Linked DNA regions of Lonchura striata. The main gene of each other region encodes a partner of the protein of the gene in region 4 in a complex. Links are inferred from orthologs where the notes say so. Each region holds a gene or a part of one and is shown on either strand. Other genes may lie near its edges. The genes, in order: TAF13, TAF4, TAF11 and TAF10.

What was found.
Region 1: TAF10 (region 4) and TAF13 share a complex: the UniProt entries of both Homo sapiens proteins name them as parts of the TFIID basal transcription factor complex. The link is inferred for Lonchura striata from reciprocal best matches to the Homo sapiens genes TAF10 and TAF13.
Region 2: TAF10 (region 4) and TAF4 share a complex: the UniProt entries of both Homo sapiens proteins name them as parts of the TFIID basal transcription factor complex. The link is inferred for Lonchura striata from reciprocal best matches to the Homo sapiens genes TAF10 and TAF4.
Region 3: TAF10 (region 4) and TAF11 share a complex: the UniProt entries of both Homo sapiens proteins name them as parts of the TFIID basal transcription factor complex. The link is inferred for Lonchura striata from reciprocal best matches to the Homo sapiens genes TAF10 and TAF11.

The regions. Positions count from the first base shown.
Region 1 is NC_134604.1:23,956,212-23,963,116, forward strand, and holds TAF13 (transcription initiation factor TFIID subunit 13), read left to right. Parts: upstream 1-4,100; 5' UTR 4,101-4,141; coding exon 4,142-4,168; intron 4,169-4,286; coding exon 4,287-4,365; intron 4,366-4,821; coding exon 4,822-4,919; intron 4,920-5,749; coding exon 5,750-5,920; 3' UTR 5,921-6,388; downstream 6,389-6,905. Other genes in the region: GTPBP8 (GTP-binding protein 8), read left to right, coding at 147-265, 709-793. UniProt on the Homo sapiens protein: The TFIID basal transcription factor complex plays a major role in the initiation of RNA polymerase II (Pol II)-dependent transcription.
Region 2 is NC_134619.1:4,882,001-4,889,369, reverse strand, and holds the start of TAF4 (transcription initiation factor TFIID subunit 4), read left to right. Parts: upstream 1-4,363; 5' UTR 4,364-4,419; coding exon 4,420-4,735; intron 4,736-6,692; coding exon 6,693-7,369. UniProt on the Homo sapiens protein: The TFIID basal transcription factor complex plays a major role in the initiation of RNA polymerase II (Pol II)-dependent transcription.
Region 3 is NC_134632.1:4,361,428-4,368,576, forward strand, and holds TAF11 (transcription initiation factor TFIID subunit 11), read right to left. Parts: upstream 2,332-7,149; coding exon 2,164-2,331; intron 2,093-2,163; coding exon 1,953-2,092; intron 1,820-1,952; coding exon 1,732-1,819; intron 1,569-1,731; coding exon 1,472-1,568; intron 894-1,471; coding exon 763-893; 3' UTR 501-762; downstream 1-500. Other genes in the region: ANKS1A (ankyrin repeat and SAM domain-containing protein 1A), read left to right, coding at 2,925-3,121. UniProt on the Homo sapiens protein: The TFIID basal transcription factor complex plays a major role in the initiation of RNA polymerase II (Pol II)-dependent transcription.
Region 4 is NC_134604.1:116,987,395-116,993,996, reverse strand, and holds TAF10 (transcription initiation factor TFIID subunit 10), read left to right. Parts: upstream 1-4,380; coding exon 4,381-4,561; intron 4,562-4,883; coding exon 4,884-5,035; intron 5,036-5,191; coding exon 5,192-5,256; intron 5,257-5,358; coding exon 5,359-5,473; intron 5,474-5,927; coding exon 5,928-6,017; 3' UTR 6,018-6,094; downstream 6,095-6,602. Other genes in the region: TPP1 (tripeptidyl-peptidase 1), read left to right, coding at 289-473, 683-881, 2,080-2,268, 2,355-2,427, 2,675-2,795, 2,903-3,061, 3,131-3,268, 3,847-3,987. UniProt on the Homo sapiens protein: The TFIID basal transcription factor complex plays a major role in the initiation of RNA polymerase II (Pol II)-dependent transcription.

The DNA.
Region 1 (6,905 bases), about 93 Mb from region 4:
GTTAGACTATTTTTTCCCCTAGATATGACCTTTCAGAGCTTTCAGACTGCTTTGTAAGACCGTTTAGGACTCTTAGAGATGTTCCAGATTAACAGCAAAATCATCTTACTTTCTTCTTTGAATCCTCTTTTTCTGGATCCATGCAGGTGGTGTTAACAAAAATTGATCGAGCTTCCAGGGGATTATTGTTAAAGAACGTACTAGAGATCCAGGAGTTCGTAAAGAAGAGCACTCAGGGATGCTTTCCTCAGCTGTTCCTGGTCAGGTAAAGCTCCTCTCCACTGCTGCTGTTGCCTTTCTGGTAATGAGTTCAGTAGGGCAAGATACCTAAAACAAGTCTGTCTGCTCTAGAAGCAGCACCTCTCTGTGCCCCAAGGATAGAAGGTGGGCTGCTGATGGGGAAATGTCCTTTTTCTTCTTTCCCCCTTCTCTGCAAGTGAGTGAAGTTTGTTTCCAGGTGCTTCTTCATTTGACCATTCTCAAAGCAGAGCAGCAGTTCCTGTGCAGCATGGTAGCAGGCCTTCCCATTTTATTTGGAGTTCTGGTAACAGTAAGAGCTGTAATTGTTGGATTACATAGCCAAAGTGCAGGCTTTTCCCAGGGTGTACTGTGGGACATGTAACTGAGCACAGCCAGTGGCTATTTGCCTTTATTACTCCAAGACACGTCAGTATGTGGCACTGAACATCTATGACTCTTTTTCTACAGCTCTGTGGAGTTTTCGGGGGTTCACTTGCTCAGGTGTTTTGTAGCCCATGTTACTGGAAACCTGCCTATTGTAGAGGCCAGCTGAAAAGACCTGCTGATCTGCTTGGCTCATCAGGAACAAGAGGTACCAAAAACAGGTCTCGGTTTTTGTTGCAAATAACCCAAGTTACTATTATGGTATTTTTGAATAAATTAGTATTTATATAGCTAATTTTTTTCTTTATTAAGTTCATCAGTTCAGGAAGTTTGCAGTATGAATTAATCCAAGTTACTATAAAACTGTTTCATAAAGCCTACGTGATTGTGCCAAGGAGAAAAAAAGTAGGTAACCTCCATAGAGAATGGAAGTTTTAATACACCATTTCCTCTCCCTACACTGAAATGTTAAAAAATCTACTACTCCATGCCTTACCTCTGCTATATTTAAGATACTAGATACAGTCTAGTAATATTAATAAAGAGGCATTTAATCTAGGAAAGAAAAACTACAGCCCTAACATTAAGCAAGCCTAGTTGAACTGAATGATACACAGAGGCTTACTTACTTCTCTCAGCTGGGATTAGGATTAGGATAGCAGGGACCAAAAACTACCTCCTCTGCAGCCTACCTGCTCTGAGGCCATGCATTGTGGAAATAGCCAACCTGTTGTCTGTGAAAGTCTGTTTAACGTCTTGTATATTGTACTTTTGTAAGTCCTCTGTGTCCATTAGGTGCAGCAGGATGGCATGCCTTGCTTGCAGACATTGAATTGTCCCTGTTCCACAAGGATGAAGGAAAGAACACATCTTCTATGGGATCTGCTTTTCCATGAGTGTTGACTTGAAACAGAGTGGAATAAAAGACTGACATCTAGAGGAACCCTGTCCTGCACACTTGTCATGAGTCAGTGCTGCATTTACCTTCTGTTTTGAGATCCAGCATGAATTTCTGCAGCACCACTTGGATGAATTGCCAGATCTGAGGCACAACATCCATGATCTGTAGTGGCTCTACTCTGGCAGCTGAAGCACAGCACTGTATGCTTTAGGGGAACTCTGTTCCACAGCAGCTAAGAGCACCTGAAGCTGTCCAGTTAAAAGGCAGAACTGGACAAAACGACAGCCATAAATAGCAGCAGTCATACAGGAGAACTTAATCTGAAGCTATGAAGTGCCTGTGTCAAACCCTGGCACTCAATCTTTGTCAGGTCAAATGTGGTTATGCAGTTGTCAGTTATTTGCATTAAGTGTTTAAACCTCAAAAAGGAAAGTTCTTTTCTAAACCACTCTGATAGTGCAAAAGGACTAGAAATACCAGTTTCATTATGCAATTTCTTGTAACACACTAGTTATGAGACAAGATCTGTTTTCAGCATACATGTAAGAGGAGAATATGAGGAATACAGTAAATATGGCTCGCTAGCTTCTGCGATTAAACCTGTAATTCTGTTAATATTTTATCTCTAATCCCAAAATGCTGCAGGGCAAACCAGCCCAAGGGATGCATGATCCTAGAAATGCAGTAGTAGCTATATAGATGGAACAGGTGAAAGTGAACACTTCAGGAAAGGCCTTTTTGTAAATCCTTTAAACCAGGATCTTCCAAAAACATCGGCCTTGTCAAGGCTGTAATTTTCAGGGCCTCAGCCTTGACTGAAGGGCTTCTGAAAAGAACCCTGAATATGTAAAAAAGTGCAGTTCTGGTTTTAGTCCCTCTTCAGAACAAAACCCCTTACATTTCATTACAGTGCTAGGAAGTCTTTTACTAACCACTTAAATACATTAAATACGTCCAGTTAATCCATTTTTATAAACAAGCTGGATGTGTGTGCATGGAACATTAGGTACCATCTTCTCCAGAAGAACCAACTTTACCTCTGGACACATCATGGTTTTATTCGGAAGCGCTTCAGATACTGGAATAACTCCTGCATTTTGCTCTTAGCTATTTGCAGGAGAGAACACTAACAGTTTGATTCTTGAGTGTGACAGTGCCCCTGTGGCAAAACAATAAATAAAATCAAGTCCTCCCCCTAAACAGTAAAATTTATTTCAGTGCATTTGTGGGAACAGGGATTGGGTACACAGGTGCCTTGACACACTACTGGAGGTTTTTTTGCCAGGTTCTTAAGGTACCGGCTGAGTTGCAGAGTGAGGAGCTGCACTTTCTCAGGCCAGAGACACAAAAGATCTTCCTTTCTTTCCCCCTCATTAATGAATGGTGGGGTGGGCTTGGCAGCATGCTGATACAGTAGAGCTCATTTCAGTTTTAAATTCAAATGTCTTTAGTTGTTTGCAGTGCATAAGCTTCACTCAAAGCTCCTGTCATTACCTGGTAAAGCTTTGCCTCTTCTACAGCTGTTACTTACAGAAATCATGTTGAGTATTAGCTTCCATGGAAAAGGATTTCATCTTGTGCGTCTTCCCTGGTCCTTCAGCAGTACTTTGTCCATTTTCTTCCTCTACCATGTCTTGGGTCTGGTCTGGTTTTGTCTGTTGCCATAACTGACACTACAAAGGCAGTATTTTTGCAATAGTGTCCAAGATGAGAACATTGCAATCTGGACAGGTGCACTAGTAGATCAGTAAAAACTGGTTGAATAATCGAGCACAGAGCATAGGAGCCGGTGGCTCATACTCCAGTCGCATGGCAGTTAAAAGTGGAACACGGCAAGGATCCATTCTGGAAGGTGTCCATTTTAGCATTTTTATGAGTAATCTGGAGTAGGTGCATTGCTGGATTCACCTACTTGCAAGATTAAAGCTAATGTGCCTAGGGCACCAGAGTGAGGGGAACAGTGGGCATGCTCAAGGGCAGGGCTGGAGCAAAGGGGCTGACAGCAACTGTATGAAATACAACAGGACTGGAGCAGCTCCCCTACAAAGACAAGCGCCTTTGGGCACTGTCCAGAAGGTGGAAACCTCACGGCAACCTTCCAGTATGTGAAGGGAGCCTAAAGAGAAGCTAGACGGGGCCCATCAGGAACTGTGATAGGACAAGGGGACAAACCGGAAGAGGAGGCTTATCTTGGACAACTTGGTCTCGTGGGAGGTGTCCGTGTCCACGGCAGAGGGGTTGGGATTAGATGATTTTTAAGGGCCATTATTCCAAATCTTTTACATTCCATGATTCTGTGAACATGGGCAAGTGTGCCTCGCTGAAGGGAAGGAGAAGCCCCTGCCAACCGAACAAACCGACTGTGCAAAGCCACCCTTTCTGACCTGGTGGCTGACCCTCTGTGGAGCAGGGGGGTTAGCAGACACTCCCGAGCTCTCTTTCGAGCCCCGCTATCCCGATCTAGCCACCCGCCACTGAGTGTCGTGGCCAGGTTGGGGCAGCCGCGCCCGCGGCCGCGCGGGGCCGACGCCCGCCCGGGCAGGCCCGGCGGCGCCTCCCGGCGGGGCCGCGGGGCGGGGCCGCGCTGCCGCAGCGGTTCCGGGCCGCCGGGCGGCCATGGCGGATGAGGAGGAGGACGTGCCGGTGAGTGCGGAGGGCTGCCCTCCCGGGATCCGCGGCCAGCCGCGGGAGGAGAGGCGGCGGGAAGGGCCGGGGCCGGACGGGCGCTGACCGCGGCCTCCCCTGCGCTGTGCCCCTGTAGTTCGAAGAGGACGCGGAGGACGCCGGCGGGGGCCTGGACGGTGGGCAGGGCAGGAGGAAGCGGCTGTTCTCCAAAGAGCGTAAGTCGGGCCGGGCCATTCAGCTGAAACCCCGAGCTGACAGCTATGGGGTCCCAAAACTCATTTCTTAGCAAAACAGCGGCTTTCATAATATGCCTTGGCTGCAATTGCAGAAATCTGCCATGTAGACCCTCCCCCTCAAAAATACTGCTAGTGCATCCTCTAGACATAGCTGTGCCCAAAGTTAGCTGCACTGTTACTGTGCAGTGCTTTGCAGCCTAAATGAGAATTCAGAGAGCCTGTCCTCAGACATTATTTTCTGTATGTACAGCTCCTGTACCTACAGGAGGGCTTTTGTTGTCTTATGTTTATTTCCTGTATGTTTCCTCAAGATTTGTCCTGCCTGACAGATGAGAGTGCCGTCCTGGTGCAGGAATGTGCAGGCTGGTGAGCTCTAACTAGATGTGTGCAGCACTGAATGGATGAAAGCCTCACACTGAGTGTTTCTTTGTGCAGTAAGGTGCATGATGTATGGATTTGGGGATGACCAGAACCCTTACACAGAATCAGTGGACATTCTTGAGGACCTGGTAATAGAGTTTATCACTGAAATGGTAAGTCAACTCTAGATGGCACAGTCAAAACATCCTCACCAAACTTTGCCTTTTTTGAAGGTTAATACCTCCGACTCAAATATTGCATTATTCCAGGCCCCAAACTCATGGCATTAATAGGAGAAACTTAAACTTGGATTTTGTTTTCCCAAGATTAAAGTAAAATTTATGCATCTTGCTCCATGTGGATTTAGAACACTGAAGGCTTTAAGCAGCATTTAGATTAATATTGTAGGAGGGGAGGTACCCATCTGACTTTGGTGTTCACTGTATGTGCAGCTGACAGAAGACAAGGCTCAGATTTGAAAGTCAGGTTTTGTTTGCCCAGTGCCTGTACATGGATAGGAACTTAGCTCTGCCCTCCAAAATGAATGCATTCTTGGGCCTGAGCCCATTTCTCTTCCAGACCTAAATGCTGTTTCTAAGTATCCAAACATATCCCTTTGTTTTGAAAGGTTGGTCTTTCCTATCTTATCAAAATGTTCTGCACTGGCCTCTTATACAGTTACTTCATACTGCTTCTAAGTTGTGCCTAATTTTCAGCCATTCTGCAGGCTGAATGTCCTATGTGTAATCTGTCCTTAGTTTTGATACCATTACCTGATACATTTGTAGTGGTTATGTTTGGGGTGTAACTGACAGGCAGCTCGGGACATTAGACTAAGTCCATGGTTTACTGGGAAGTTCTCTTGTGACTAGGATGATGGTGCCCAGAATCAGCAATTGCTTACTCTTTTATTATAAAATGTCAAGGAATAAAGTGGAATTGAGACCTTAAAAAAGCACCATGGCAAAGGAATACTGTTGCCTTTTTTTTTCTCCTCTGACAGACACACAAGGCCATGTCCATCGGGCGCCAGGGTCGGGTACAGGTTGAGGACATCGTCTTTCTAATACGCAAGGACCCCCGGAAGTTTGCCAGAGTTAAGGACCTCCTAACTATGAATGAAGAACTGAAACGAGCCAGAAAGGCTTTTGATGAAGCAAACTATGGGTCTTGATTCTGTGCACAAGCTGTACTGGGGCATTATTTGGGCACCTGCTGCCAAGTAAGAATTGAAGATTGCGCGTGTTGTTTGGAAGGGTTTTTTAGGATGGAGGTCACTGTTGGGATGTCTACCCTCACTCCCAGCCTTTTCTGAGAAGTATTCAAGCAGCTGAAATGTTACGTGACTGTATGTGGTATATTTAGGTATTTTTATACCATTTGATGAAATGAGAAAAAGCTCTAAAAGTTCCTGCAGTGGCAGGAGTCTGTTTCAGGTAGGCCTGTGTTTTATCAGATGGCTCAAGGGTTGATAGTTCATGATTTTCTAAAATTGTTTAAGTTGTCACTGGGTATTCCTGTGATAGGAAACCCTGAAAATGGATCTTGGTTATCTGTATAAAGACCTTAAACTCAAACTACTATCAAAGTTGTGCTCTTTGCTCTGTACATGCTTTTTGAATAAAACATATGTTTGTGCCCATGTTTTGTAACTAAATATACATTGATCAGTTCATACCATGTGGGTAATACAGGCCACAGCTGTGCTTTTCCCTACTTCTGGAACAGCTTGGGGAGGTAGGTTCAGTTAACTCCTGATTTCAGAGCAAGCGTAACAAATGCTGTAACAGCAATAATACTGCATATCAAGGCTGTCCCCTCTACAAGCAGCACAGAAGGAAGGGTGTAAGGTTTGGAAATGTGTTGGCAAGTCTTTTGTCCGAAGCAGCAGTGAGTGATCAGCTCTGCAGCCTTTCTTCCATGGATGGGAATTATCTGCACTGTGGATTTGACAGCAGCATTTGACACGTGGTTAGGCAATAGAGAGGGGACATTGAGTAAAGGTAACAAAGTCAGTGTTCCTGGACAAGGGTAGGTAAAAGGATGGTGACTATTCCTTTATTTGGAACACCCTTAAAAATATAAAAATCAGCCACTAAAAAAAACCTGGTTTACAAAAACATAATAAAATGGTTGTTACTTTCTTAACAGAATTCACA
Region 2 (7,369 bases), on a different chromosome or scaffold from region 4:
CTTCACTGGAAATATGGATGTAGGTAGGTATGATTATCATGAAAGAAAAAGGGCCTGTACTGTTGCTGTCCAAATCTACTGTTCACCTCTTTTTATTTTACAATGCAAGAGTTAAGACATTTTCTTGCGGCATACCGTACTTAATTATGAATATTAATCCCTATTAGGAGCATTAGACTTCAGGGATTCACCTAAGGACAACTGAAGTACATGGGATGAGTTGAAGAACAAAACTTTAACAATATTTTTAGATTTCAGGGAGAAGACAATCAAGAGTGTAGACTAAAAGGGGCATTGAAGTTGCTTTATTTACTTGTGCATGTCTGGAGTAAAACTGCATTTGTCCCTAAAGTCAAAGAAAAATACTTGAACCAGGAATAGTTTTCCTATAGATTGTCAAACATTTTTATTCTGGATGCAAATGAAGTCTTGTTGCTTTTGCAGATCACTTGCTAGTGGAGACTGACACCCATTTGCAGAAGAATCAGCACACAGACTTTCAAGGTTACCAATGGGCAGCTTCTGCACAGAACTGCATCGTTTTCAACTAGGACTTCATTCCTTTGCTCCTAACACTCTCTGCTTACCAAATTATCCATTGAACTCCTGTGCTCCTCCAAAAGAAAAAAAAATAAAAGGTACAAGGCAGAAAGGTAGGGAAGGATACTGGCTACAAGGCTAGTGCAGCTTTATGAATGAACCCAAAATTTTGGTTTTGCTGAACACTCTCCAGTGGAAACTGACACAAGTGTGGATTTTGTCATCTTGTTTGACTGAACTTTTGAAATCAAGGTATTACTGGTAAAATCCCAACTTTCAGTGTTTCAAATGATCCTGGGTGAGGAGCAGAGAGAGGCAGGAAAGAAGAGAAAGAAATCATCTATCAAAGCAATACGTTTTTCATCTATTTATTGATGGGCCTTTAGGCTTCTGGTGGGTCAGTTAAGACTAAAACCATCTGTAGGCTTCTCTGTTCTGTCCCTTGTCACCCCAATCCATACCTAAGTCAGATGTTTCTGTAACGAGTTCTAGACTAACTTCATTTTTAGAAAACAAACAGGAAAATGGCATTACCTTAACCTCTGACAGTCTCTGTGTCATGATCTACATTGTAGATCTAGGGGAGGAATAAGTATTTTAATAATAATATAATAATATAATAATATAATAATATAATAATATAATAATATAATAATATAATATAAAGGAAGGAGGTTAAGGGAACTGACAATTCTCCATTTTTCTTGGATAGCTCCTGCTAGTTTCTGCTCTTTGACACGCAGAGAACCCATATGTATCTGTAATGTTCAAGATCTTTTGATGTAACTGATGGGTGAATTCCACAGCCTTCACTGTATATTGAGTCTGACTATTTCTACACCAACACTAATAATTACCTGTACTCAATTACTAGAATCCTTGTGCAAGTTGCTCTTTTTGTACCATTTAAAATGGAGTAGTACAGCACAGGAGCTGGAATCCCTGTGCTGAAGAATTCAGTCTAGAAACTTACTTCCAACGTCAAACAAGAGACAGAGTGTATGAGAAGATAAATTATTCAGTAATGGATCCTACACACTTATAATGCACAAGTTGTAATGAATCTCAGTTGCTCTTGTAATTTTGTAAAGTTGTTTACCTAATATGGTAGATGTGCCATATGGTACACTAAAGAGAGTGTTAGAATGAGGACGTGAAGATTTCTAGGTTTTTATTTCTAGTTTTGTAGGCATCTGTAAACTACATTCAAGCTGTCCTAGAATGTGAGCAGAGCAAGAATGCAGGCTGCTCTGCCCCTTCATGCTGACTGCTGCTGCCACCTGATAACATCCTCCATCTCTTCCTCCCGTGCTCCTCAGGCACTGTGGCCCAGCATGGGGCTGTGCCCTGGCTAGATGCCATCAAAGAAAGTCTTTCAGACACTCTGCATCTTTAGGCTGACTTAGTTTGAGCCAAGCTTTTTCACCTTTAATACATTATTTGAGCAGCTGGTTAACTCTTCTGGTGGGTAGGGAATGTGACCAGGCTTCTATTCCAGAGAGTTCTTTGGTATGTTGCTTATAGAATTTCACCATAGCTAAAACTAGCAACGGGCTTGACTGAGGCAGCAGCAAAGAGGTTGGGACTGCCCTGCTCAAAGCAGCATTTCTGGCTTGTAAGAAATGGGTAATATGACCTACAGTGATGCCTGTAAAATCACATTCACTTTGCAGTACTGTAATTTGTCAAAAATTGATAAAATGGGAGTTAAAATTCACACAGATGAAAAGGGCAGTTTCTTGCTCACCCTTGAGTTTCAAGTGATGCCTGAGAAAAGCATTTAAGTACAAGAATAAAATATTAATATAAAACTCAGAGGCTGTAGGCAGTTTCTCAGGATGATGCCATGGGGGTAAGTGAGCAGAGCCTTGGGAAAGGCTTAACATTGTAATTTTTAGTTATCAGCCAAAGTCTACTGCAGGTGAGAAGAGGACATAGAAACTAGAAGAGCAATATCCCTCACTATGAGCTGAATTTCTAGGATTTTTGATTTAAAGGGACTTGCACTATTATTTGGGGCCTGTATGTTAAGAGCAAATACCAGTTTTTATGTGATTTTTTGGCAAACAGCTTCTCCCTGGTAGGTACGTTTGCATATTTGAGGACAGGGTGAGAACTGGACAGTACTTCACCACTGTTCCCATTGCTCATGGAGTCAACTGTCAAGCAGATCAATTCAATTCATGTTAGAATTAAGTGATCAAGTTAAGTGATCACCACAAATATGTGATAGGGGAAGTGCTGACACCCACATCTGGGCAACCCTACGTACAGAAAACTTGGACATATTTAAATGTATCCCCTTTTCATAGATAAGTCAGGGCTCTGGTTCTTCCAGGTCTCCACCAGCCTCCAGGCAGGAGGCCAGTCAATTCCCCAGAATCATCAACCAGCAGGTGCTGAGCCCATCCCACTATAACAGAGTTCCAGTCTCTAATGCTGCCCATTCCCAAAATGTAACAGCAAAGCTTATTTTAAAACCCTGATATAAGAGGTGCTATTTTAAGCTTGCTACCCCTTAAAACTTGGAAGTTAAGTTAAATTAGGCATTGGAATAAGTTGCCCAGAGAGGTGGTGGAGTCACCACCCCTGGAGATGGTTAAGAGGAATCTGGATCTGGTGCTGGGGGGATGTGATTTAGTGGTTTAAGGGTTACAGGGGTAGTGCAGTTGGACTTGATCTTAAAGATCTCTTCCACCCTTGATGATTCTATGATTCTATTCTGTGAAAGATAAATCATACCATCTGATAACATTGTTCCAATTGCATCTGGTAATACTGTTCCACTCATTCAGTTTTCTGGAGAAGCAGCGCCTGGCAGAAGAGCGCATTTATTGAAAGGCGGGTTGTATTTTTACGTTATTTACTTCCTTTATGATGGTTGCACAACAAGGTCAAAGTGCAGCCGCGTCCTGTAGGCGATCGTGTCCACCTGCAGCCGGCGCCGGCCGAGCTGCGCGGGCCGGGCCCGGGGGCTGCGCTCCCCGCCGAGCGCCGCTGCGGAGCGCGGCTCTCCCCCAAGGGTTAAGCGGCGGCGGGGGTGTAACGCGGGCTGACACACGGGCGGGGATCGCCCCGCCGTGCCGGCTCGCAGCTGCGACTGGACCGTTCAAAATTGCCGTCTCCCTCTCTTTTCCCCCCCGCCTCCCCTCTCTCTCTCGCCTTCCTTTTCCCTTCCCGGCGCTGGGCTCGCAGCCGGGCGCGCTTTCCCGGAGCTGGCCCCGGCCGTGCTGAGTCAGACCGCGCCCCGCGCCCGCCCCCGCGGCCCGGCCGCACTGAGGGGCTGCTGCCCCCGGCTCGCCCCGCCGACGGCGGCGGCAGGGAGGCAGGCGCGGGGGCTCCTCCTCGCCCGCTGCCCCCGCCCGGGGCTGGGCGTGTGCCCCGCCCGCCCCGCCGGTGGATCAGTTACACGCAGCTGGCACAGGTGCGGGGCGCCCTTCAGACTCGCGCCGGCGGGGGAGACCCGGACGCAGAGAGCAGCAGGGAAAACATGCAGCCATTTTGGGCCGAGGCAGACAAAGAGCCGCCGGCGGCCGCGGCCGCCCCCGCCGCCCCGCGCGACTCCCGAACCCCCCGCACCCGCGGCGCGGCCGCACCGAGGGGCCGCAGCCCCCGCCCGCCCGCGGCCGCCGGGGGGCCGCCGCCGCCGCCCGACTCCCAACTAAGCGATCGCAGCCATTTGCACGGCCTTTTATAGGCGGGCGCCGGCCAATCAGCGGCGGGCGGAATCCCTGCCCGGCCGGTGATGTGCGGGCCGGGCGCTCGCGCGTGCGCTGTTGGGCGGGGGGGCCGAGTGTGAGCGGGGCGGGGGGAGGAGGGAGCCGTGAGAGGGGAGGGGGGGGAGGAGGGAGCCGCTCACAGGAACCCTCCGAAAAAAAGATGGCGGCGGGCTCGGATCTGCTGGATGAGGTTTTCCTGAACACGGAGGTGGATGAGAAGGTGGTGAGCGACCTGGTGGGCTCCCTGGAGTCCCAGCTGGCGGCCTCCGGCCACCACCACCAGCACCACAAGGCGCAGGAGCCCCTGAGGGCCGCTGGGGGGCTGCTGGGGAACCATGTTGTGAGCAGCAGCAGTAGCAGCAGCAGCCCTAGCCCCAGCCCTGGAGGAGTAGTAGTAGGAGGCAATGCTAATGTCCAAACAGAGAGCAGCAGCGGCAGCAAGATGGGACTGAGTGCCCCAGAGATCACAAAAGCAGGTAACGTGGGCAGGGGTGGGGGGCTCTGAGGGAGAGGGGCCCTCCCCTCCCCCCACTCTCCGGCTCCCGCTGCCTCCTTCCCTCACTGCTTTCCCCCCTTTTCCCTCTCTCCTCCTTCTCGTTGTGGCAGGAGCGGGAGTGCAAAGGGTGGTATCGATCATACGGGGGAGAGCCTCCCCTCATCATGCCCCCTCGGTGTGTATCCGCGCCTCTGCTCCCTCCCCTTTATTTTCCCTCCTCGCCTGTGCTTACTCGAGGGTGTTGGATCCTGTGTGGGGGCAGCCGCCCCGCAGAAGGAGCCGGCAGTGCCCGTCCGTGACTCTGCCGGTCCCCTCTGCTTTTCCTGCCCTTGTTGCTGGAGTGTAAAAGGGCTCTGTTAATCTCGGGGACTGAAGGAGGCAGAGCCCACCCCCTTGGTCATGGCTGTGCCTCCCATGCCGCCTGTGATTGCTCCCCTTCCCTTTCCAGGGGTGGAGGTTATGGGGGGGATTCCCTCTTGATAATGCCGCCTTAGCTGTCTGTGTAAATGCTCCTTCCCCTCCCCCTTCGCTGTTGCTGAAGTGGAAGGGGGTGTTATTAATCATGACACCTATTTCCTGTAGAGGAGGAAGCGAGGGGGGATTTCAAGGGGAGGAAGTCCCTCAAAATGCTTCCCCCCCATATCTGCCTGCCTTGATATTCCCCTCGCACCCCCTCCCTTGTTCCAGGGGCTCGGAGGGGGCATGGGGACCTCCCATTCCTCCTCTGCCCTCAAGGGGGGGTAGTCACAACGCCGGGTCCCGGCAAGGGGGGGAATTCAGGCCACAGCACCCCACCTTGCACAGCGCCTTCTCCCACCGCCCACCCCCCGAGCTGCCTGGGAATATACCCCCCTTCGTGTCCTGAGGCTTCTAGGGGGGCAGTGTGAAGGCTGGGACTGAGGGCTCACTACGTGGGAATGGAGGGAAGCTGGTTTTTTTCAGGGGGATTGAAAGAAATGTCTCCCCACAATCTCTCTGCAATTCCTCCCCTCCCCCCCCCTTTTTTATTTTTGATTTTGTCTTGCTGAAGTGTAAGAAGATACTACAGACCGTCTGTTATGATTGATGAAGCTCTTCTAGGAGGATCTCCTTGACCCTTATAATGTGCATCTCAGTGTCTGCCTGTCACTATTCTTTTCCCATTTCTGTCTCCTTAGGGCCAGGACCTGGACTGTGTGTGATTGTACTTGTGCTAACACCAGGCCTTATCAAGGGGCATGAGGATTATTCAGGACAAGAAGCTACATCATCTTGTCCCTTCTGAAAACCAGCTTTGCTTTTTATTTATTTATTTTTAACTATCTCTGGCTGTGGGAACTTCAGCTCTGTTGGAACAAATTCTGTAATAAGGAAGAGGGGTCTTCTAGAAACCTGCTCCAGGCCTTGCAGTACTTCTTATCTTGCCGGGCTGATGTTTTCCTTTCCTTTCACTTTTCATATTTTGCTGTTGCTGAGCCTCCTGATCTGACTGACTTACTTTGTAGGAGATGACAGGATTAGAGACTAATGTGTGCTGGGTATAGGGAGTATGTCTTAATAATGTGTCTTCCATGGCCATTCCCCCCCTTGCAGTTGCAGTCCTGTTTCTAAGTGGGATGTCAGGCTCCAGAATGGGGAGGAGGTCTTAGATGATCTTCTTACTTCCCTTGGTTCATACTAAATCTGTTTTCCCTGTTTTGTACTGTAGTGTCAAAAGCAGGGGTGTTACAATTAATTGTTACAATTAATACTGAATCTGCCAGTCTTTGGTGGGATATTGGAGGCTTTAAGAATATGTCTTCAAAGCCGTGTTCAGTTTGTACTCTGTCCTGTTTTTGTGGCTCCAGACAGGCAGCTTGGGAGATGGAGAAGACCTGGTGATAAGGGAGAACATTCTGTCTTTGCTGGACTTCTCTTCTTGCTCATTCGCTCTGTGTAACTTCGTTGTTGTTTTTCAGGGGCAGGAGGAGTGCAGGGGGGTGTTATTAATCATAACACCAGGTCCCAGACTTCAGCTCTGGATGGAGCCACCACAACGAGCACCAGCACCACCACTGCAGCAGCAGGAGGATCTGAAGTCACTGCTGCTCCAGGGACCCTCAGTCAGGGCAAATCGGTGGTTATCAGCACCATGGCAACTGCCTTGTCCACCAGGAATGGCAAGATTGGGACCACGACGGTGCAGACTTTGAATGGGAGTAACGTGGTGATGAACTCTCACCACACAGGAAGTGCTGCTTTCTCTGGGACTCCTGTGACTGCCAACCCCGCTCCTGCACCTGCTGTCGCCCCTCTCGTTAACAATGGACCTGGATCTGTGGGGAAAGGAAACGCTGTTAATGCTGTTTTGCCCTCAGCTTCTAACACTGTCATCCAGACTTCTTTCCTTAATACTGCTGTGTCCTCTGCATCCTCCTCCTCACCCACAGTGATCTCCTCGCAGCCACCGCCGAGCGTTGGCACTGGGGCGCCCACGGTAACGCTGGTGAGGCCCCCCATCCACACAGCAGGACCCACGGTGGCTGCGGCTGCTGCGGCCACTCAGAACGGGAGCAATACTGTGATCAATTCAACCATCAGTGTGGGGAGTTTTCCTGCGGTTGCCACAGCCACTGTGGGATCTGGAGTTTCCCTC
Region 3 (7,149 bases), on a different chromosome or scaffold from region 4:
TAACCCAAAACCCACACGTGTGGGAGGACAAAACCTCCTGGGTCCCCACAGATTGTAAATATCAAAGTTTACTTTGTGGAGCCTCTTATTTAAGGATTCTTCCTCTGTTCCAGTGAGAGCCCACAGGTGCCATGGGAGAGCACGTGGTCTCAGCACCTCTCACAGGGTCAGGAGCAGCTCCCAGGGCCCCTGGAAGGGGACAGGGGCAATGTGCAAGTCTGAACTTGAATTTGAATTTTAGGCAGTATTGCAACTTTGCTGCAGTTTGTTTCCACTGATGGGTTTATTGGTTCTATGAACCACGAGCAGAATTAAACTCATTAACCTCCTTCCAGGCTCTGGCCTCTTTTCCTGCTTTTCCCTCCCCCTCTCTTCCCACTGCTGCTGTTTTTTGGGCAGCTTCTGGATTTGGAAGCACAGCTGAACCCTGATTTCAGATGTTCCCAGGGAATCAGCTCTGGGAGCACCTTGGGTCACACAAAGAGCAGATCCCAGCCTGGTTATGAACACAAGAATAAGTTTAATGCACTGAAAAGAAAACCCACACATCTGGGCACAGATGGCACATCTGGGCCAGCAGAAAATGCTCTGCAGCCCCTGGATGTTGCTCTCCCCAAAGTCCAGGTCAAGGGTGCATCCAGGCTCTGCCCAGCACAGGCAGGGACAGCAGGAACATCCTTGAGGTCCCACAGGTCACCCCAAAAGGGCCTTAGGGAAGAGTCCACGTGGGAAGGTCCTACAGGAAGCTTATCTCAGCCTCTCTCAGTGGAAAATGATCTTTTTGTACTTGGAGTTGGGGATTTGCCCCCGTGCCTTGAGCCTCCGGACAGCCTCCCTCATGTGCTTGGGCTGCAGGGGGGGCAGCTCCCCCCACTTCTCACACACATCCAAAGCTGGACAGATAGACAGACAGACACACAGGTCAGGGCAGGGGCCAGCTGAGCTCTGCCCAGCCCCTGCTGCTGCTTCAGTGCAGTTGGGAAGGAACAGGAAATGTTTGTGCTTGGGGTTTGCACCAGCTCCTCCTCCCTGACAGGAGTCCCAGGGCAGCAGGCAGGACAAAAAGCTGCTGAACCCCTCAGGAACTGTGGAGGGGGTGGAGGAGCTCAGAGCCTCTGGGGGTGGGTGGGCTGTGAGCCCCAACAGCTGAGCAGAAAGAGCAGGCTCAGCTCCCTGTCCCAAACTGATCTGAGCTCATCCCACAAAGGAACTGGGGCAGGTCTAGAGGCTTTGGAGCCACTCTGTCCCTGCAGCACTAATGGCATCCCCATCATGCAGCTGCTCTGGGGCTGAGGGACGGAGTTGCCAGCCCAGCTTCTCTTCCTGAGGAGAAGCAGCAGTGCTGGGGGATCAGAGGGGCTGTGGCAGCTTCTGCTGTGAGCCAGAGCTGCTGGAGAACCATGAAAATCCTGTTCCACACCCTGCTCCAAGCAGGGAATTCACCCTAGCCTCTCAGCAAGGTGCCACTCACCTTCTTCCACCACCTCCCCAACAAACACCTTGGAGATGCCCGACATGGCAATGACGACGTTCTGGGACACGGAGGTGCCGGTGATGGACTGGATGAGCTGGGACAGGGACAGGGACAGTCAGATCCCCACCCCCGTGACCTCCCAGCCCATCCAGCCCCTCGGGGAGCCGCGGCCCCAGCTCCCGCTGCGGGGATTGGAGCTGGAGCCCCCCGGGACCGGCCGTGGCCCAGCCCCGCCGGGGCTCCGGCCGCTCTCGTACCCGTTTGATGGCAGCCTTGGGGAAGGCAGAGCGCCGGTACATCTCGTAGCGGTTCAGCTGCTCCTCGGAGAAGGAGGAGACCAGGATCCTGCGGGGCACGCAGCGATCGCTCCCAGCCCCGCGGAGGCCGGAGCGGGGAGCGCCGGGCTGGAAGGCGGGGAGGGGGATCTGGAGGGGGCTGCGGCACCGGGGCCACGATTCCCGAACCCGCAGGCACTCACTGCATCTTCTGGATCTCGTCCTCGTCCACTTTCTGCTTCTTCTCCTTCCGCTCCTTCAGCTCCAGCTTCACCTTCCGGGCCGCACCCGCCTGCAGCCCCGGCTCCTCCGCGTCCGCCGCCTCCCCCTCCGCGCTCCTCACCTGGGCGGGAGCGCAGCGCTCGTTCTGCGGCCCCGCCGCCCGCCCCGGCCCCGCTCCCGCTCCCGCCTCACCTCCCCGTCCGCCACCTCCGCCTTCAGCTCGCTGCCGCCGCCAGCCTCCCGCACCTCGCCTTCTCCCGCCGCCTCTGCGGCCGCCGCTTCGGGCGGGGAGGCGGCTGCGGGCGGCGGCTCCGGCACAGCGGCGGCGGCACCGAGCGCGTCCCGGGCCGGGTCCGCCATGGCCGCGCCCGCGGCGCCTCCTGATGACGAAACACTGCGGGCGCCGCGAGGGGCGGGGCCTATCGCCACGGGAACGTGACGCGGGGCGCCTCGTGATGACGCACGCGCACCGGCGAGGCGGGGGGGCACGGCGTCTGTAGTCATGGCAACGGAGGTGCGACAGCGCGTCCCGATGACAACGAGGGCGGTGCCTGTTGCCGCGGCAACAGCGACTCGGCAGCGCAGCTTAATGACGCGCGGGGCCGGGCTTGTCGCCATGGCAGCGGGGCTGCGGAGGGGGCCCCGTGCGGGCCTCACCCCCGGGCTCTGCGCGCCCGGACCGACCAACCCCGCTCCGAGCCGCCCTCCGCACGCCTGGACCCTGCCGGGACACGGCGCTAGGGCGGCCCCGCGGGGAAAACTCCCCAGAGCCGCCCGAAACGGGCGCGGCCGAGGCACGGCGGGCACCGCGGGGGGCGTGGCCGTTACAGCTCCCCGCCCCCGCACCGCCCATCCATCAAACCCCGCCCGTCGGGCCGCGCCCTCCGAGGCCCCGCCCCGGCCCGCCCCGGCCCCGCCCCGGAAGTCGCGCGGGCGGCGGGGCCGCGCCGGCCATGGGGAAGGAGCAGGAGCTGCTGGAGGCCGCCCGCACCGGGAACCTCCCGGCCGTGGAGAAGCTGCTCTCGGGGAAGCGCCTCAGCTCCGGCTTCGGCGGCTCCGGCGGGGGCGGCGGCGGCGGCTCGGCGGGGGGAGGCGGCGGCGGGAGCGGCGGGAGCGGCGGTGTGGGGCACCCGCTGTCCAGCCTGCTGAGGTGAGCGCGGCCCGGGGACGGATCCGCGGCCCGGCGGGGGCTGCTGCCGCTGGCTGCGGCGCTGCGGGCCGGGAGGGCAGCGGGAGCCGCGGGTGGCGTGTGTGGGGCTGGGGGCGTCTGGGGGGTTTGGATCTTGGGGTGCAGCGAGGGGGCTGCTGGGGCCGCAGCGCTGCGGGGCAGGCCGGGGTCTGTCCCCGCTCTGCTCCCCGGCTGGGACGGGACACTGCAGCGGGGCGTGGGAGCTGCGCACCCCTGAGCGTTTGGTGGGGCCGGTGATGCCGGGGGGCCGTGCCAGAGGGAGCTCCTCGGGCTGCTGTGCCCTCCGGAGAGGGGAGTGGGTGACTTTCGAGCTGTCTGCAGCCGGCAGTGCCAGCGCTGGGTGCTGCCCGTCCCCCCTGGCACCAGCCGCTGCGGCGCTGGGAGCTGCGGTGTGCCCGGGGAGGCTCCCGCACTGCCAGAGCTGCGGGATGACTTTCGCGAGGTGTCCCGGCCCTGCGCTGGCATTGTCGCGGCTGGCGGTGACACTCTGTCGTGCCTGGGCTCGGCTCGTCCTCAGCCCCATGCTGTGGAATTTGCTGGTTGAAGCTCTTGGACTTTTGTTTCTCTTCCTCGTGTTTTGGCATCACCTCTCGCTGCTGGAGCTGCAGCTTTGGGCACTTTGGGAATGCTCCTGGTCCCTGAGCAGTTGGTTTGTACGGGAGGTGTGGAGGAGGTTTGTGTCCAGTGCCAAGTGATACTGTTGCTACACAACCTGGCTGTTCAGAGAGATGTGACTTGCCCCTTTTTGGCCAAATTTCATCTGTTTTTCCTTTCACATAAACCAGTTGGATCCCTGCAGGTTGTGCTGGTGGCAGAAGCTTGCAGGCATGCGAGAGCTCACCCTGCCCTGGGGCACACGTTTGCCTTTCTGAAACGTAAATCTACCCTTGGGTCGAGCTTTGTTCTTCTCTTTTGCTACATTAAACAGTCTGAGCCCTTGTTGGAGTGGGATGGATGTGCCCACAGGGGCCTCAGATCAGTGCAGTGGCTCAGTGCAGTTGAACACCCTGTGAGCTGAACCAGATCCGCCAGTGCCCAACAGCACCTGGGCACGATGGGGCCTTTTTCTGCCTTTTCCTGGACAGTGCCCGTGGTGCCATGGTCCTGGAGCAGTCCCGTGGTGCCAGAGTGAGCCCGGCTGTCCCTTTGGCTCTGACCTGTTACTGTTTCTCACATGTGGACACTGCTTCGTGCACAGCCTGAAGGAGGGTGCCTGTCACAGCTGTCACTCGTTTTCCATGCTCACAACCATGGCTGTAGCTGCTGGTGACACTGGACCTGCCCCTTTCTCTGTACAGCTGGGATTTGTGCCTGTGACAGCAGTTCCTGGTCTGGCTGCACACTGTGGGGCATGGCAACGTGTCCTGTTTGCCACCTGGTGCTATTTAGGAGCTTTGTGACTGTTTCCCACCTCCCGAGCACTTGCTGGGCTCTGGCTCTGTTATGGACTCCTCCAGCTCGTGGTGAGGTTTTGATGAGAAGCAGCTGCTGAGTGTCCCTGCAAGGAGAGGCCAGGGAGTGCAGGAGACAGGCTGGGACAGGCTGCAGGGACCAGACAGATGAATTTTAGGGTGGAGAAAACATCACCTTTTCCAATGCTAGAACATGGGAACTTTTCTGATGTAGGATTTTGCCCTCCTTGGTTGTGGGGAGAAGCCTGCCCTCAGTCAGGCCTGTGTGCTCTGTGTTTTCCCTTCCTTGGGCAGCCCGTGACCCTGCTCAGGCTGATCCCTGCTCCTGCCAAGGCTCCTCGTGTCCGTAAGGATCTCTCCTGACACAGGAGCTGCTGAGCTGCTCTCCACTCCCAGAGCAGGAACATAAACACTCTGCTGGGCTGCTACCTTTGTTCTTTTCTCTGCCTGATTTCAGGACCCTATTTTAGTTTCTGTTTAAGTCCCACTGTTTGGATAACCTGCTCCCAAAGCTCTTCTCTCCTGAGGTGCCTGTTGCAGCTCTTTTTGTCAGTTCTGCCTTTCCAGTGTCTCAAAGATATAGTTTTGGATGGGGTACAAACCAGGCATTCCCTGGAATTCCCACATTACACCTGGTACATGCTGTGCTGGCACCTGCTCTGAGCTGGCACTCACTGGTTTGGGCCATTTCTCTTCCAAAGAGAGCAAGTGCTGCTCCATGAAGTGGTAGAAGATGGCCCTGGCAGTAAATTCCTTGCAATGTGGTGTTTTATCAGGTAACCTGAATTGCCATTGGTCTGTTATCAGTTAAATGTGAACTTTGTCACAGTCTGGGCTGTGCTGCTCCTTCCCAGGCTGAGCAGGGCCCGCTGGGTGTGGAGGCAGCACAGATTCCAATCACCTATGGCTGCAGGTGAGCAGGAAACAGAATGGGATGGAGTGGGGTAATCCACAGGAGGAGGAGCTCCAAAGACAATTTAAGTCTCTGGAGGGGTGAATGTGCCAGGTGCAACACTCAGGGCACTGGGCAGGAGAATAAATCCTGATGGGAAGCTGATGGGAATGGGGAGTGCTGACAGAGAGCTGGGGAAACGAGGAGGATGCAGGAGGGGGAAATGGGAGTGTGGATCTGCCAGAGCAGATGGTGGGCTCACAAAGAGGTGATGGCTGCCAGGCTTTGGAAGGCTCGGCTCCCTGCTGGCGTCCACGCAGCCCCTGGGATCTGCCAGGGCCTGGGGAGCTGCTGCAGGCCTGGCCCAGCAGTGGGAGCAGGTCCTGGCTCCCTGGCCAGGCCCGGCTTCTCCGGTTCCAGCCATGGACCGTGGCACAGGCAGGAGCTCCGTGTGAGGAGCCAGAGAGAAAACCCACTCTGTGCATGCACAGCTTGAGGCTTAAGAGCAACAGCAAGTCCAGAAATCAGAGATGGTCTGTGAATCCTTGAGGTTCCTTGGGGTTATGAGCCACTTCTGCATCGAGGCTGCAGAATTTGATGTATTGTGGTTTTTTTTTTTTAGTGGTTTACTGTGAAGTTAGGGGTGGGAAACAACAAAACAGTCTGTGGCTGAGCTATCAGGCTGCATTCAGGAGGTTTTGCCAGGAGCAATGAGGGATGGGTTGTGTTAAAGCCAAAGCTGCAGAAGCAGCTTTTTATTTCCATCTATTGCTGTGAAAAGTCTGGATCTGTGTTGCCAGAGGGGGAAGCTGAGGCTGCTGCTGAGCCCCAGATGGGATATGCAGTCCCCAGGGAGCGTATCAGGGAGATGCTTCTGCTGGGGATGAGGAGTTTGGGTGCACGTCTATTGTGGGAAGGGTCGAGTGCTGCTCCAGAGAAGCCACAACCCTTGCTCCAGCCCATTTTCAGCTGTTGCTGCTGGTGAGGGGGTCTGGTTGGTTTAAAGAGTGATGTGGCAGGATGGCAGAACACTTGAGGTGGCTTCCAACAGTCCAAGGGTGGTTAGGAATCAGAAAAAATTTAAAAGTGGGGTTTGCTATTTGTTCTGGTGCTGCTGATGGTTCACAGCAGGGATCTGATGGTGCCTCCTGGGGAAGGCTCCGACTGTGCCTGTCTGCTGCCATTCCCCGGGGAAGGCACACGGTGCCAAGGATTTCCCCCTGGGGAAGGGGGGGATTGCCCTGTCCGAGGTCAGGGCCGGGCTGTCTGTCTGTCCCTCCAGGTGTCCCCAGGCCGTGTGGGTGAGCACACAGTGAGTCCTGCAGTGTCCGGCAGAGACAGCAGCAGGATCACCGGGGGGCTCCAAGGTCCAGCTAACCCAGCCTTGTGCAAGCAAGGTGCTTCCCTCTCTTGCCTTTCCCCATCACAAAGGAGCTGCTCCTGCTGCATTCCCGCAGAACAGGGCAATGCTGGGTCTCCCCCTCATCCTGCTGCTGTGATTAATCATCTCACCCACTTTAAACCTTCTCCACACCCTCCCGTGCACACGGCGCTGTGGGACTGAACCCTCTTTAATTACACACCTGAGCACAGGGATTGCTGAAGGTGCTTGTGCTGGGAATTGTTTCCTAAGTACTTCTTTAAGAATTCAAAGGCTGCAGTTACTGGCTGGGACTCTGCAGTGT
Region 4 (6,602 bases):
CTGCAGATCCCCGTTCCGTGGGATCCAGTGACCGTCCCATTAACAGCGTGGGGGGTGCCAGGCTGAGGCTATGGCTGAGCCACAGGAAGGCTGAGGAAGGCTCAGCTGTGGGAAGGCTGAAGAGGCTCTTCCCCTGGGCCAGGGCTGCAGGGCTGGGCTCTCCAAGCCCTGCTGTTGGCCTGCCCGTGTAGAAGTGGGGGCAGTGATGGGGAGTCCAAGGGCTCTGTCCTGCCCTCCCAGGGCTCTGTGCCCTGACAGCCTCTCCCATCCCACTGGGCTCTGCTGCAGTGGGTGGGTTGCACCGGTTCCCCACGGAGCACAAGGCAATTAGCAGAGCCAGGGCCAGGAAGGACGCAAAGCTGGCACGAGCATCGTTCCACCTGGGCGTGACACCGGCTGTCCTGCGCCAGAGATACAACATGACAGGGGGGGATGTGGGGCTGCTGCCCAACAACAGCCAGGCCTGTGCACAGGTAAGCACTGCCTTGTCAGAGGCATGTGTACCGGGGCAGTCCAAGGGTTTGGTGCTGGTCTGGGGGTCTTGGGACAGCTGGGTGTCCCTCAGTGGCTGCTGGGAGCACCTGGTGTAGCACAGACCCGTGCTGGGCAATTTCCTACGTCAGGATCAAAGCGTTACCTTGTTTTTTTGAGAGGAGACAACCTGTCCCTCTGTATCCCACAGTTTCTCGAGCAGTACTTCCACCAAGCTGACCTGGCTGAGTTCATGCAGCTCTTTGGCAGCGGCTTTGCCCACCGCACGCAAGTGGACCGGGTGGTGGGGCACCAGGGCCGTGGCAAAGCCGGGCTGGAGGCCAGCCTGGATGTAGAATACATCATGAGCACGGGCGCCAATGTCTCCACTTGGGTCTTCAGCAACGCAGGTACTGGGGAAGAGCCACGAGGGGCAGGGGGAAGGAGAGCACCCAGAGAGAGGAGGGGAGGGCCTGGAGCAGGGAAGGGAACATTTGGAGGTTTGAGGGAGGGGGCTGGAACAAGGGAGGGGAGTGCTGGGAGGAGTGAGGGGAGAGCTTGCAGGGCTGTGCAGACAACTGGCTGTAGTACTGCCCAGGTGCATCCCCAGCTGCTGTGGGAGCGGACCCTGTGTGCTCCCCAAGTCAGAGCTGGCACCGCATTCCCAGCTCCTAGGGACATCACTCCTGCTGTGTGTGGTGACTTTGAACTCTGTATACCTTCAATCTTCAGAGTATCCTGAAGCAGGGTTTCTGTTGCTAGCACCATACAGAGCAGCTGCCCCACTCAGCTCCATGAAGGAGGGCACAGCCCTCCTCCCGTGGGGTTTTCCAGCTCTGCTGCAGCTGAGCTCCCACCCACGAGCCTTCCAGAGGAACAGATGAGGGAGAGTGAGGGAATTGGGAAAATAAATTGCCAAACAGCCTACACAAACACAAACAGGGCACAGTGCTAGGGGCAGTGTCCTTGTCCCAGACTGGGAACTGGCTGAGCAGGTGGGTGCCACAGGGACAGCAGCCCTGTCCCTGATGGTGACGGTGACAGCAGATGAGTGCTGCCCTTCCCTCCGTCCTCACACAGTTACTGGTATGGGAAGGATGCAGATGAGTGACATGGGTGACCGAGAGTGAGTAGGTGTGCCTGGGACGCTGCTCCCCTCCCAGTGGAGAGGGCTGGGAACAGGGAGGGACCTGGGCAGGTGCAGGTGGAATGTGTGGAGGTGGCACATGCGCTTCTCTTCTGGGACCTGTTGCCAGAGGAGGAGCTGAGGCCCTGCTGGGCCCACAGGTGCCCATGTGGCTGCAGCCCTGGGGCAGAGTCTCAGAGAGGAGGTGTGAGTGTAGCCCCCTGTCCTGGGCTGATGACAGTCTTGCCAACCCCATGGGCTGAGCTGAAGCTCAGTGCTGTCAATGTGAGGAGCCCCAGGATGAGCTCACGGAGCTCCAGGCCGGATGTGCTGTGACTCCATGGCCCACAGGAAGGAGCACTTGGAGCTGCACTGCGAAGGAGGGTGCTGGTGCTGATGAGGCAGGGCTCCTCGCACTGTCTCCCACTGTCGCTGATGTCGGAGGAGCTATCCCACGTGTCCCTTCCCCGATGTCCTTGCAGGGCGCCACGAGAGCCAGGAGCCCTTCTTGGCCTGGCTGCTGCTGCTCAGCAACATGTCAGCGCTGCCCTGGGTGCACTCGGTGAGCTACGGGGACGACGAGGACAGCCTGTCCTACGCCTACATGGAGCGTGTCAACACCGAGTTCATGAAGGCGGCGGCCCGCGGCCTCACCATCCTGTTTGCCTCAGGTGCAGCTGAGCTCGAGCACCGAGTGGGGCTGGGGAGGGGGTGCCTGGGGCGCCGTGCTCACCTGTCACCTGTTCCTGTGTTGCAGGTGACGACGGTGCTGGCTGTCGGCGAGAGCATGGCGGGAACCACACGTTCCGGCCCAGCTTCCCGGCCTCCAGGTGGGTGCGAGGGGTCAGCACAGCCCTGCGGAGGCACAGCCGGCCCCGGCCCCAGAGGGGTCTGAGCTCCTGAAAGGTCACCTGAGGGTCCTCACCAGCAGTCGTACAGAGCCCAGAGCTGCAGCCTGTGCAGCTGCGGGATTGGTTTGGTCTGTGGGGTGAAGGTGTGGTAGCAGAGGGGGCTGTTGGTGGCTGCTAAGGCCCAAGCAGCCTTGTGCCCACCGGCAGTGTCCCCCTGCTTCCCCAGCCCCTACGTCACCACCGTGGGTGGCACGTCCTTCAAGAACCCCTTCCTGGTGACGGAGGAGGTGACGGATTACATCAGCGGGGGTGGCTTCAGCAACGTCTTCCCCATGCCCGAGTACCAGGTGAGGGACACCAGTGCCGCCAGGCTGGGGGCTGCAGACGGGGCTGCAGGGTTAGGCTCGGGGGGGACAGTGGCCCTGGGGATGCCCACAGGCCGTGCTATCCCCAGGCCGCTGCTGTTGGGCATTTCCTGCACTCAGCCTCGAAGCTGCCGCCCAGCTCCTACTACAACAGCAGTGGCCGTGCATACCCCGACCTGGCTGCGCTCTCTGACAACTACTGGGTGGTGACAAACCGCATCCCGCTGCCCTGGGTGTCGGGAACCTCGGTAAGGAGCTCACCCCCTGCTGCCCTCCAGCACGGCGGGGCCCTGGGCTGAGCGGTTGTGCCCACGCAGGCGTCCACACCGGTGGTGGCAGGCATGGTGGCACTGATCAATGACCGGCGCCTGCAGCGGGGGCTGGCACCCCTTGGCTTCCTCAACCCTGTGCTCTACCAGCTGCAGAAGCAAGGGCTTGGTGATGCATTCTACGATGTGAGCAGAGCAGGGAATGGGCTGGAGGGGCTGTCCTGGGGGCTGAGGGGACTTCGGGTGTTCTGATGTGTTTGGCTGAGGCCTGGGGTGGGCCCATCCATGGGGCTGGGAGGGCCGTGTGTGCTCCAAGGGCTGTCCTGGGGGCTGGGGGTTGTCCTGGGGTTCCTGCTCCCAAAGCTGTGCCTGGGGCAGGGCCAGCAGTGTCCTGCTGGGGGGCAGGAGAGAATCCCTATGGCGTTCCCATGGGAGGGGGTCCTGGGGTTGGCCTCGACGTTTCCATGGGCGTGATATCCTTGGGGGTCCCTATGGGCTTCTGTGAGCTCTGTGGGGGTCCCCATGTCAGATGTCTGGGGGCCCCTGTCCCCAGGATTCCTGTCTCAGGGATGGCAGGGACAGCTGTCCCTGGGTCCTGGGGACTGCGGGCAGGGTCCCTGTGCCCATGCTACCCCTGTCCTGGGTGGTCCCTGGGCCCTGGGATCCCTGTCCCAGGCCTGTGTGGGGCTCGGGTGCTCCAGAGGTCGCTGTCCCGAGACTTGGGGGGCGTTGCCGCGGTCCAGTACTGAAGCTGGTCCCCGCAGGTGATCCAGGGCTGCCACCTGTCCTGCCTGGATGGCACCGTGCAGGGCCAGGGCTTCTGTGCCACCCCCGCCTGGGACCCGGTCACGGGCTGGGGCACCCCCAACTTCCCGCGCCTGCTGCGGGCGCTGGGGCCGCGCTGACCGGGGCCCCGTGGCATGACCGCGGTGCCGGGCAACGGGGCACGGACAGCGGGACCGCACGGACAGCGGGACCGCACGGACAGCGGTGCACGGGCCGCGGGACCGGACAGCGGGACCGGACAGCGGGACCGGACCGCGAACGCCGCGGAGCTGGGGGCGGAGCTGGGGGCGGAGCTGGGGCGGCGGGGGCGGAGCAATAAACAAGCGAAGCCCCGCCCACCGCCTCTGTTTGGACCCGTGCGGGGCGATGAGCGTCGGAGGGCTGAACCAATGGGGGGCAAGGCGGGGGCCCAACGGGGCCAATGGGACGGCGAGGGGGGCGGGGCGAAGGAGCCGCGGGGCCAATGCAGCGGCTCGGCATGCGCAGGCGCGGAGCGGGCTGGCGCCGGGACCATGAGCGGCAGCGGCGATCCCGACCCCGCGGCCGCGGCTCCGGCTGCCCCGCCGGGCCCCGCCGACGGCAGCAAGCCCAGCCCGGCCGCCGCGGGAAGCGCCGGGCCCGGGGCGGCGCCGGCTGCGGGGGGCGGTGCGGCGCGCGCCGCCGAGGGCTGTGCGGCCGGCGGGAGGGGGCCCGGTGAGTCGCGATGGGGGCGGCGGGAGATGCGCCCCGCTCACGGGAGCCCCGCGGGACGCGCTGAGTTACTCGGGCCGTGGGAGCGGCCCCCGGGGTGTTCCGGGGTGCCCCGGGTCCCGCTGGGCGTGTGTCTTGCGGTGCCGGTGCTGTGCGCGGGTCTAGCTCTGCCCGTGCTGTCCCGCGGTGCCGGTGCCGTGCGTCGTTCTAGCGCTGACCGTGCTGTCCCGTGGTGCCGGTGCCGTGCGCGGTTCTAGCTCTGACCGTGCTGTCCCGCGGTGCTGGTGCCGTGCGCCGTTGTAGCGCTGACCGTGCTGTCCCGTAGTGCCGGTGTCCGCGGCCGTGGCCGCTCCCCCGGACGGGGCCATGTCTAACGGTGTGTACGTGCCGCCCGCGGCCAACGGCGACGTGAAGCCGGTGGTGTCCACCACACCGCTCGTGGACTTCCTCATGCAGCTGGAGGACTACACTCCCACGGTACCGACACACAGGGCGGCTCCCGTGGGACGGGACGGGATGGGACACGGGGCAGGTCCCGCGGTACTGGGGTACAGCGCGGCTCCTGTGCCACGGGACATAGGATGTAGAAACGCTCCGCGGGGCTGTGCAGCTGTTCCAACTCTTCCCTCCCAGATCCCGGACGCCGTCACAGGGTATTACCTGAACCGGGCAGGGTTTGAGGCCTCGGACCCCCGCATGTGAGTGGCCGCAAGCTGGGGGGGAGAGGCAGGAGCCACGCAGGGTCCGGCAGAAGGGCCCGCGGACCCTGTTGCCTCACCAACACGGTCCCTGTCCCGCAGAATCCGCCTGATCTCGCTGGCGGCTCAGAAGTTCATCTCGGACATTGCCAATGACGCGCTGCAGCACTGCAAGATGAAGGGCACAGCCTCGGGCAGCTCCCGCAGCAAGAGCAAGGTGAGGGGCTGGGGGGAGTGGGGAGCCCTCCCTTGGGATGGGGCTGAGCCGCAGCCACCGAGTGCAGGAATGTGGGGTGTAGAAATCCCAACATCTGCGGGCTTATGCTGGGTCCCTGCGGGCGGGGAGGGGCTGGCGGGGACACGATGGGGGCATGGAGCTTGTGGACACCCTTTGGTGCCCCTCCACCCCAGCAGTGGTTGCAGCTCTGGGCTTGGGGAGGAGCTGGAGTGAGGGGTGCTGGGGACCCTCCTAGTGCCATATCTGGGGATCAGGGGCTCCGCAAGGCCAGTAGGATTTGGTGCTAGTTGTCCAGGGATATCTGCAGGGAGGTGGGCATACCCCAGTGCTGCCCAGCAGCTCCTCTGGCTGTGGGACACGCCTGTCCCTGCACTGTGGGGGGTCCCACGGCCCCGGCTGTCCCTGCTGTGACCGCCTGCCCCATGTCCCTCAGGACAAGAAGTATACGCTGACCATGGAGGACCTGACACCGGCGCTGGCTGAGTATGGCATCAACGTCAAAAAGCCGCATTACTTCACATAGAGCACGGGGGAGCTTGGGCAGCTTGTAGGGGTAGTGTCAGTGCCATTAAACACCTCACAGGGTTTTGTGGGAAGGCAGCCTTGCTCCTGTGCCTGCGTCCTCAAGTGCTGGCCCTGGTCCTCCACGTGCTCACCCCCCTCTGCTGGTCAGAGGGGGCTCGGTGCTCCCAGCAGTACTGGAGCAGAGTGGGGTTAGGGCACAGGGACTGCCCAGCACTCTTCCTTCTCCTCCTTCCCTAAACTGCCCCTTGTCTCCCACAGGGAACACCATGGGGGCTGCACAGGCAGCACGACAAATGGAGCCAGGGATGGGACCCTGAGCCCACCCCTCCTGCACCAGGCCCCTCCCGAGGGGGCCCTGTGCCTATCTACCCTACTTGTGCTGGGCACCAGAGGGTTGCTGTGGGTGGTGACTTGTGCCCAGGGCTCTGTGGGCTGCAAGGTAGCCCCATGTCAATCCAACCCCACCCTCAGTCCTAGACATCCCCTGTGAGTCTCAGCCCCCCAGTCACTCCAGCCCCCCACCCCAAACAACTCCCCCCATTCCTCCGCCCCGTACCCCAGCAGCTGGTTCCATACCAAACAT